2 linked regions of the Oryctolagus cuniculus genome follow. The protein of the gene in region 1 interacts with the protein of each later gene in a biochemical or structural test. Links are inferred from orthologs where the notes say so. Each region holds a gene or a part of one and is shown on either strand. Other genes may lie near its edges. The genes, in order: SMARCA5 and POLE3.

Region 1 (4,408 bases):
TTTTCTGTAGCTTCTCTCCCCTCTTCTCTAGTTCTAGACTTCTCAAAATCTTTTTCCCTTTTGAGTGGATTTGAACATTCTGTCTCTTCTTTCTAGCTTCTCCTATGTATTTTTCCTCTCTAATATTTTCCCAATGATAGTCTTACACAACATGAGAAACTCACATATAAACTAACATGTTAAAAGACAATAGCCATTTTAGAGGTTTTTTTTTTTCTTATTCAAGGACATTGTTTTCTTTGCAGTTTTCTGTAGCTATCAGACTTAAGACCCTTCTATTTATATAATTACATATAATTTTAAGGATTTTTCAAGCCCAGACCCAAGTTTTCTACCTTACACTGTAAAGAGTGGAAGAAAGGGGCTGGTGATACGGCATAGCAGATTAAGTCTCCACTTAAAGTGCTGGCACCGATTTGAGTCCTGGCTTCTCACTTCTGATTCAGCTCCCTGTTAATGGCCTGGGAAAGCAGTGAAAATGGCCCAAGTGCTTGGGCCCCTGTACCCAGGTGGGAGACCTGGAAGAAGTTACTGGTTCCTAGCTTCACCAGGCCCAGCTCTGGCAGTTGGGGCCATTTGGGCAGTGAACCAGCAGACAGATGACCTCTCTCTGTGTCTCTGCTTTTCAACTAACTCTTAAAAAAAAAAAGTACAAGAAATATTCTGACTAGATGCTATATTCTTTCTACATAACAATATACATATTAAATAGAATGCTTACAGGGTACCACCCTAAACACCGTCTTCTTAGTCATCCACACCAACTTTACTTGGTGAAGAAACTTTTTTTAAAAAAAAGATCAATTGTTCATCTAGTGATTTTTCATCTTTCTCATCTCTATGTGTGCACATTAACTTCTCTGCTTAACTTACACCATGTAAATTCAGAAGCAATGCCATCTAACTCTGTACCTAAGGGAAGCAGCCAATATTTAGGAATGATTGACGTAGCTAACATGCGACGACAAAAACAAACAAACAACAAAAAAAAAAACTAACATGTTTTTTCCATGGAGCATCACTTGGGAAAACCAAAACGTCGTGAAGGCCGAGGTGTCACACCTCTAACAGGAGCCGCAGGTGGGTGATGGCCAGCATAGGCCTCCGCGTGAAAGCAGGCAGAGCAAGTTCTGAGAGACCGCCGCAGAGCCAGACACAGAACCCAGGGCGGCCCGGGGAAGCGAGCCGTTAAAAACGCGTGTTGAGAGAGCGATTGCGTCATACCAAAGAGCCGACGCACAAACCTACGTCTCCGAGCAATCCCTCGAGGCCCCGCCCACCCTCCACCCCAGAGCCCGCTAGACGTCCGAAAGAGGAGGGGCCGAGCGCGACTTGGAGAGACAGCGCATGCGCTCTCCGGACCCAGCCGGTGAACCAACTAGCAATCTCGCGAGGGTTGAAAGTCGGTGGCGTACGTAGTAGTCTTGGATGCTGGCGAGCTAGATGATATCTGCCAGAGGAGGAAGAGGAGGAAGCAGAGCGCGATCCCCGCCTCAGCCTCTCTTTCGCTTTCCTTTCCCCTTCCCCTCACACTCCGCCCTCCTCCTCCTCTGCCCGCCTCCCCTGACCTCAGTGACCCGGCTGGCCCCGCCCACCCTCGCCGACGTGATTCCCGCCGTGAGGTAAGCGCCGGTCGAACCCGGAGTCCCGCGGAAGAGGAGCACGACTCGGGGGCAGGCTGCTGGGCCCGGCTCAGGCCGGCGACAGAGCCGCGGCGCGGGCGAGCAGTCGGGCGGGCCTCCCGCTCCTCCATCAGTTGCGTGCGACGCAGCCGCCCAGGCCTAGGCCTCCTGCATCCCCGGCGGCCCGGGATCTGGCAGCAGCGGCTGACGCAGACGGAACATCATGTCGGCGGCCGAGCCTCCGCCACCCCCGCCTCCTGAGAGCGCGCCTTCCAAGCCCGCAGCCTCCGCCGCCAGCAGCGGGAGCAACAGCGGCAACAAAGGCGGCCCCGAGGGCGTCGCGGCGCAGGCGGCGGCGTCTGCGGCCAGCGCGGGCTCCGCGGACGCCGACATGGAGGTGAGGGCGGCTGGTGGCGCGGGGCGGGCGCGGGGGCACGGGAGGCGATCGAGTGATGGAGCTCCGAGGCGCGCTTCACTCCTCTGCACCCGAACTCGGCCTCGGAGCCTGTGAAAGGATGCTCGTACTTTTTGCGCGTGTGCTACGCAGACCCGAGCCGGCGGGGACTGGACGTCTGCCGCTCCACGTTTAAAATGCTCAGTCTCTTTAGCAAATCTTAACACATCTTTCAGCGCTCTTATAACAACGGGTCTGCTTGATTGCTGGGGCCGAAGGGGGATTTACCTTTGTAAAAGCTTTCCCAGAACTGGCTCTCCTATCTAGGAATCTAGGTTTTAGTTTCCACCAAACTTTGTGGGGAGGGCGAGGGAGAGGCCCCCTGGGAGTGGGATACGGGGGTGGGGCGGGGAAGTCGTTTGCGAGCGGCGCATCCGAGGATTCGGGCCTGCTTTTTTTCTTCCCGGTCCCGGTGGGGGCGGTATCTGTCCTGGGCCCAGACAATGGCGAGAGCTGGATGGCCGAGTGCGCAGTGGGGATGAGCGGGGCGCAGCTGCCTCTGTGTAGGGGAAGGAGGCCCCTCCCAGGCACTGCTCCGGAGGGAGGGGAGCGACCCCGGCAGCAGCCAGCTGTCTTGAATCCTCATCTGATCTGGGGAGATGCATGGGCGGGTGAATGGATTAGGAGAACCGTGGGTGGGTGGTTGGGTGGCTTTTAGACCAGTGCGTTTCCCCCTTTTTGGGCTTTGGTCTTTAAAAACAAAGTTGATACCCTCGCTTGCTTGCTGAGCCTTCTGGTGTTGGGTTGGCCAAGCGATGGTGACTGTACTGTGGGGGTGGAAAGATGGGGGCGCTGCCAGCTTGGTCTCTTGGGTCTGTTCCTAGGCGCTGTGATGGCTGGGAATAAAGAGATTGCTCCTTCCAGTTTTTATTTTTGGCCTTCGCCCTGTTTTGAAACATTTTGTAGTTCCAGCCGGAAGGAAGACTTCTGGGAATTTTTTTAAATCTCTAGATAGAATAGAAGTAAGTAACTTCTAAAACTGAGCTTTGATGGAGAACTACCGCAATAAGGAAATGCTGGTGCAGTTCACCTTTGAGGTATTTGGCACAGTAGTTTTGTTTAGGCAACTAGGATGCAGTAGCACACTCGTTTTTAAAGGAACTGTGAACAGCAGTTAGTAGAGTAGTAATTCTGATATTCTCTAGTTTTCAGTGATAGAGATTGTTTCAAATTAAAATGAATTCAGTGTTGCCTTCTCAAACCTCCCGACCCCTTGGGGTTTTGAGTAGTTCTTTTGGATTATCAATGCTGTTTAACTTGGATTCTTGCTCAGTGTCCTAAGGAGAAAGCCTGTGGCACTGAAAGCAATTGTGTGTAAATGTTCAATACTCTACAGAGATGTTCAGAGTTTCCCTTAGCTTTCCAAAAGAATCTGCCATTCAAACCTTTGGCATAACAAAAGTTTTAGAGGTCTTCCTTAAATATTAGAAAGGAGCGTAAATGTTAAGGCTAAACTAAGTGTTTTGGCTTTGAGAAGATACTCTCTTCACTGAATTTGCAGTTACTGAGATTCACTGTTAAACTCAGTTTGAGCACACATGCATAATCTGACCACCTGAACCAGTCTCACAGTTGGTACAAAGATATTTTTAAGTGCCTTTTTTTTTTTTTTTTGACAGGCAGAGTGGACAATGAGAGAGAGAGACAGAGAGAAAGGTCTTCCTTTGCCGTTGGTTCACCCTCCAATGGCCGCTGCGGCCGGCGCACCGCGCTGATCCGATGGCAGGAGCCAGGTACTTCTCCTGGTCTCCCATGGGGTGCAGGGCCCAAGGACTTGGGCCATCCTCCACTGCACTCCCTGGCCACAGCAGAGAGCTGGCCTGGAAGAGGGGCAACCGGGACAGAATCCGGCGCCCCGACCGGGACTAGAACCTGGTGTGCCGGCGCCGCAAGGCAGAGGACTAGCCTAGTGAGCTGCGGCGCCGGCTGTGCCTTTTTCTTGTTTGAAAGTAGAATTTAAGAAAATAATCCCAGGTATTTTTCAGGGTTTTTTTTTTGATAGAGCTGGTTTTTCAGAAACATTATCCAACCTTTCCTTTGTATTCAGTTTTTCCTTTTATCTTGGTACTGATGAGCTAAAGGAACAATCTCATTTTTTGGTTATTACTCTCATATTGACAGTATTGACAGTATGGGGTTTTTATTCATCATTCCCCCTCCCCCCCTTTTTTTTTAAAGATTTAGTTAAGTGGTAGAGTTACAGACAGACAGAGGGAGAGACAGAAAGGTCTTCCATCCACTGGTTCACTCCCCAAATGGCTGCAGTGTCCACAGCTAGGCCGATATGAAGCCCAGTGCCAGGAGCTTCTTCCAAGTCTCCCACAGGGGTGCA
Region 2 (4,315 bases), on another chromosome or scaffold:
TTTCCACATACCTAATGTGAAAGGAATACAACTTGAAGTGCCACTGCAGGAGCCGCAGTGTCGTGGGGAAAGCCGCCACCTGCAGTGCCAGCATCCCATATGGGTACCGGTTCCAGTGCCGGCTGCTCCACTTCTGATCCCGCTCCCTGCTAATGTACCTGGGACAGCAGCTGAGGATGGCTCAAATGCTCGGGCCCCTGCACCCACGTAGGGGCTCCTGGCTTCATCCTGGCCCAGCTGGGCACAGCCATTTGAGGAGTGAATCAGCAGATGGGAGATCTCCTTCGCTTTCTCTTTTATATATATATATATATATGCACATATATATATATCAAATATCTAAATCTTAAGTAGTTGGGTCCTGGCCATCCACGTGGGAGACCTGGATTGAGTTCTAGGCTCCTGGCTTCCACCTGGCTCACCACCCATTGGCCAGCATCTGGGGACTGAACCTGATGTAAGATTCCTCTCTCTCTTCCCAAATAAAAAAGATTTGTTAATTACAGAAGAGGAAGAGGAAGAAGAAGAAACCCTTGGGTATGATTTTGCCTGGGAAAGGTGTACGACACACAATGTAATGAACTAAAACTAAACGCAATTTTAACAAGGCTGTTTTAAATGGGACGATGCAGTATTTTAAAAGCGGCTGCTCCCGCCCTTTCCTGCCCAGCCCGAAATGAACCTCTAAGTCTGGTCAGGCGCATCCCGCTGTGAACAAGAGCTCAAGGGAAAAAAAAGGTAACTCCCCAAAAAAGCCTAGCTAACACCTATCCTTGGTAAGGATTAGCACAGCGCCGTGAGGGGCGGAAAGATGGATGGACATCGGCAAGCGCTGGGCTGAAGAAAGATTCCCCGCTGCGTTCTGGAACAGGAAAAACACTGTGGCTGTCGGGAGGGAGCGGTTCCGCCTCGCAGGGTCCCGGCTCCTCGGGACCACGGCAAAGATGAAACCCCGAGGGTTCCCGAAATCCAGGGGCCCAACGCAGCCCCGCCCGGCGAGGAGCTCGGCGGTAATGGCTCACCAGGCCCCGCCTCTCGTCCGGAGGGGCCCCACCCAGCCGCCTCGGCTCCACGCCTCCGTCTCCCACGCGAGGCGCGAGGCCGCTCCGTCGCCAAGCAACGGCGCAGAGCACGATGGGGCTCGGACGGAAGCCTCCGTGGGCCATACTTAGTTCGAGGCGAAAGCTCTGGACGTAGCGGGAGCGTGAAGCAGAGACACTCTTCTGAGGAAGAACGTGCGGCGTACGGTGGGCGCTGACCGAAAGATCCAGCGAGCCAAAACCGCTACGAGCGCAAAAAGTTCGGGTGCAAAGCGTCTTGAGGTGGAGAGGCGGGGCTGGCGTAGGAGGAAGGCTGGGGGCGCGGGGCACTGTGGGACACGGTGCGGCCTACGTGAGGCGGAACGGAAGCCTCGGAGGGTCAGACAGCAGCGGCGCGGGAAGTCCGGACGCTGGAGGTACCTGGGGAGGAGGCCCTAGGCTCAGACTCAGGCCTCGACCGCGGCCATGGCAGAGAGGCCCGAGGACTTAAACCTGCCCAACGCCGTAATCACCAGGATCATCAAGGAGGCGGTGAGCAGCTCGGGCTGGCGATGGGCCGGGGGCGGACGAGCGGGCAGAAGGGAAGCAGGTCCTGGGCCGGCGGCTTTGCTCACTCCCGCCGTCATCACAGCTCCCGGAAGGTGTCAACATCTCCAAGGAGGCCCGGAGCGCCATCTCACGCGCCGCCAGCGTCTTCGTGCTGTACGCCACATCGTGGTGAGCAGGACAGAGCGAGCCGGCGTCCGGCTGGGTCTAAGGCCTGGAGGGTGGGGGGGAGGCACCGGGAACCGCTGCTGGCAGTTGTGGTCTGGGACCCATGTAAACCCCCCTCCCGGGTCTTCCCGGGTCTGTTCGAACAGCAGACTTAGGTACGGGCAAGGGCAGGGTTTACGCAGGTTACGCAAACATCTGTACGGCCAAGATGTGCCTGGGTTCTCCCTTCCCACCCCTGGGTGCCCCTTTTCGCGTCCTAAAGAGGGAAGGGGGCAGCCGTTTAGAGCCCTTTTTGCTTTGTTTCAGTGCCAACAACTTCGCGATGAAAGGGAAACGCAAGACCCTGAATGCCAGCGACGTGCTGTCCGCCATGGAGGAGATGGAGTTCCAGAGGTTCGTCGCCCCGCTGAAGGAGGCCCTGGAAGGTAACGACCCCCGCGTGGCTTCTCTTCTTCTTCACTTTATTTGGAAGGCAGAGAGAGAGAGATCGTTAAACACAGCGAGATCTTCCGCCCTCCGGTTCACTCCCCAAATGCCCAGGTTAGCTATGGCCGGGCCGGGCCGGGCCGGACCCCTGCCCTTCCTCTGGGTCTTCCACGTGGGGAGCAGGGCCCCAAGTATTTGCGCCATCCAAGGTGTTCCGGCAGGAGGCTGGCTCTAAAGTGGCGGAGCCAGGACTCAAACCAGGCACTCCCGTACAGGTATGGGATGCGTGCGTTCCGAGCTGCGCCTTAATCCCTGCCCCCAGTGCCTGCCCGTACCCTTCTGTTTCCCAAACCACATGGAAGACGGGTGACCTGTTGATGTGGCCCTGGGACTGTGAAAGAGTGGCCCAGAAAGCCAGTACCGGATGTGACCGGACGTAGTTCAGTGGCACCACCCGAGACCTCTCGGTGCTGCTCGCCAGGTCCTTTTCTGCTCGTGTCCCTTGGTTTTTCCAGCTGTCCAGTGATGCTGCCGGCTGCGGTCCCCGCTTGTCTCCCCCAGCCCTGTCTCCTAACCCCGCCCCTCTTCCTGCAGCCTATAGGCGGGAGCAGAGGGGCAAGAAGGAAGCTTCGGAACAGAAGAAGAAAGACAAAGACAAAAAGGCGGATTCGGAAGAGCCGGACAAGAGCAGGGACGAGGACAACGATGAAGATGAGGAGAGGCTGGAGGAAGAAGAGCAGAATGAAGAGGAGGAGATTGACAACTGAGTGCTGCGGGAGTCTGGACCTCGGGAGGCAGGTGGGCGGCGGGAGGCAGGCGGGCGGTGGCCGTGGGCTCCGTGTTTGTGCGCTGCTTTGCCCCGGGCTGGAGTGCTGGAGCAGATGCAGGCCGCCAGCCGAACCGGCGCTCCCGACGCCGCGCAGCCGCCTGGCACAGCCCTGTGCCGCTTCCTTGAGCGGGCGGTCGTCACTGAACAGCTCGCTCCGTTAGTCAGTGTGATCTCTCGTGTTGGCTTACATGTATGGCTGGGTAGGTTTTGACCCCCAGTCCTCCTACCCCTGAAGAGAGTCGTAATTCCCCTGCTGCCTGCTGTGTTCCAAGTCTCAGAGGCCATGAGGCTCCAGAAAGCTGGGCTTCCTTGCACACGATGTGGCCGTGGAAACCCGTGAAGTGGTCAGGCGGTTGGCTTTAGGACACTGCTAAGAGAACTGGAGGATTAAAGAAATCTGTTCTGTTGTCTCTCCCCTTGGCAGGAACATCCGTGGGAGTGGATTCTGTTAGACCCGCTCACCCTGGAGCTCATCTGTGTGCCTTAGGCAGCCTGCCTGGGGCGGGCCGGGCCGGGCGCCGCGCTCTGAGCTCACGCGCTCCGGATTGAACAGTGGAGACCACAGGCAGGCAGGCAGGGACGCCGGGGTCTTACGGAGCAGGCGCCTCACTGCCTTCGCCATGTGCACTTGAGAACCTGCTGGAGGCCAAGCCCGCCTCCCGGGCTGGGGCCTGAGCGTCCTCCTTCAGTTCACGGAGAGTTCCAGACCGTCTCCCCTCTAGGCACAGCTCTCCCTCCGCTCCTGTGGCTCTTCTCATTTCCACTTTCTCTCTCAGTCCTGCCAGTCTGGGAACTTTGACAGTCTGCTTAGTATTCCAAAGTGCAAGTCCTTCTGCTTTCTTAGTTCTAATCTCTCGGCTTTTAAAAAGAATGTCATACAAACCCTTTAGGGCAGTCAGATGGCGCTCAGGAATGTAATGGCTGGCCCACCAGCCGTGCCCCCGAGCTGCTTCTAAAGCACCCCTGTTGGCCTCTCTGAGCCTTTCTCTCTTTTGGGTCAGTGCTACAAGCACTGTTCTGTTTGCAGGTTGAGCGCTTGGGTTTGACAGGTAGGGAAGTGTAGTCTGACACTGTCAACTTGTTAAATGAACACAGGGAGGCGTTCAATGAGTGATGGCTGTTGAGAAGATTGTAATGCTTTGTACGAATAAAGAACGTTCTTGTTAGAAGAGATGACGCCTGCGTGTTCCCCGTGTGCTTTTGGAGAGGAGCCACTGATCAAGTCCCCATACAGTGTCTGGGGTGTGATCCCCGGGCCAGATCTTGGAAACACGGGAGCCTGCATCACCGCTGGCGGCCAGCAGAT

The links.
Region 2: the proteins of SMARCA5 (region 1) and POLE3 form a complex in vitro, tested with the Homo sapiens proteins (2 studies listed by BioGRID). The link is inferred for Oryctolagus cuniculus from reciprocal best matches to the Homo sapiens genes SMARCA5 and POLE3.

Annotation. Positions count from the first base shown.
Region 1 is NC_091439.1:21,029,755-21,034,162, reverse strand, and holds the start of SMARCA5 (SWI/SNF-related matrix-associated actin-dependent regulator of chromatin subfamily A member 5), read left to right. Parts: upstream 1-1,337; 5' UTR 1,338-1,845; coding exon 1,846-2,019; intron 2,020-4,408. UniProt on the Homo sapiens protein: ATPase that possesses intrinsic ATP-dependent nucleosome-remodeling activity.
Region 2 is NC_091432.1:216,998,488-217,002,802, reverse strand, and holds POLE3 (DNA polymerase epsilon subunit 3), read left to right. Parts: upstream 1-1,430; 5' UTR 1,431-1,505; coding exon 1,506-1,571; intron 1,572-1,671; coding exon 1,672-1,757; intron 1,758-2,060; coding exon 2,061-2,179; intron 2,180-2,774; coding exon 2,775-2,947; 3' UTR 2,948-2,978; exon of another isoform or gene 2,979-3,433; 3' UTR 3,434-4,182; downstream 4,183-4,315. Other genes in the region: C1H9orf43 (uncharacterized protein C9orf43 homolog), read right to left, coding at 12-94. UniProt on the Homo sapiens protein: Accessory component of the DNA polymerase epsilon complex. Participates in DNA repair and in chromosomal DNA replication.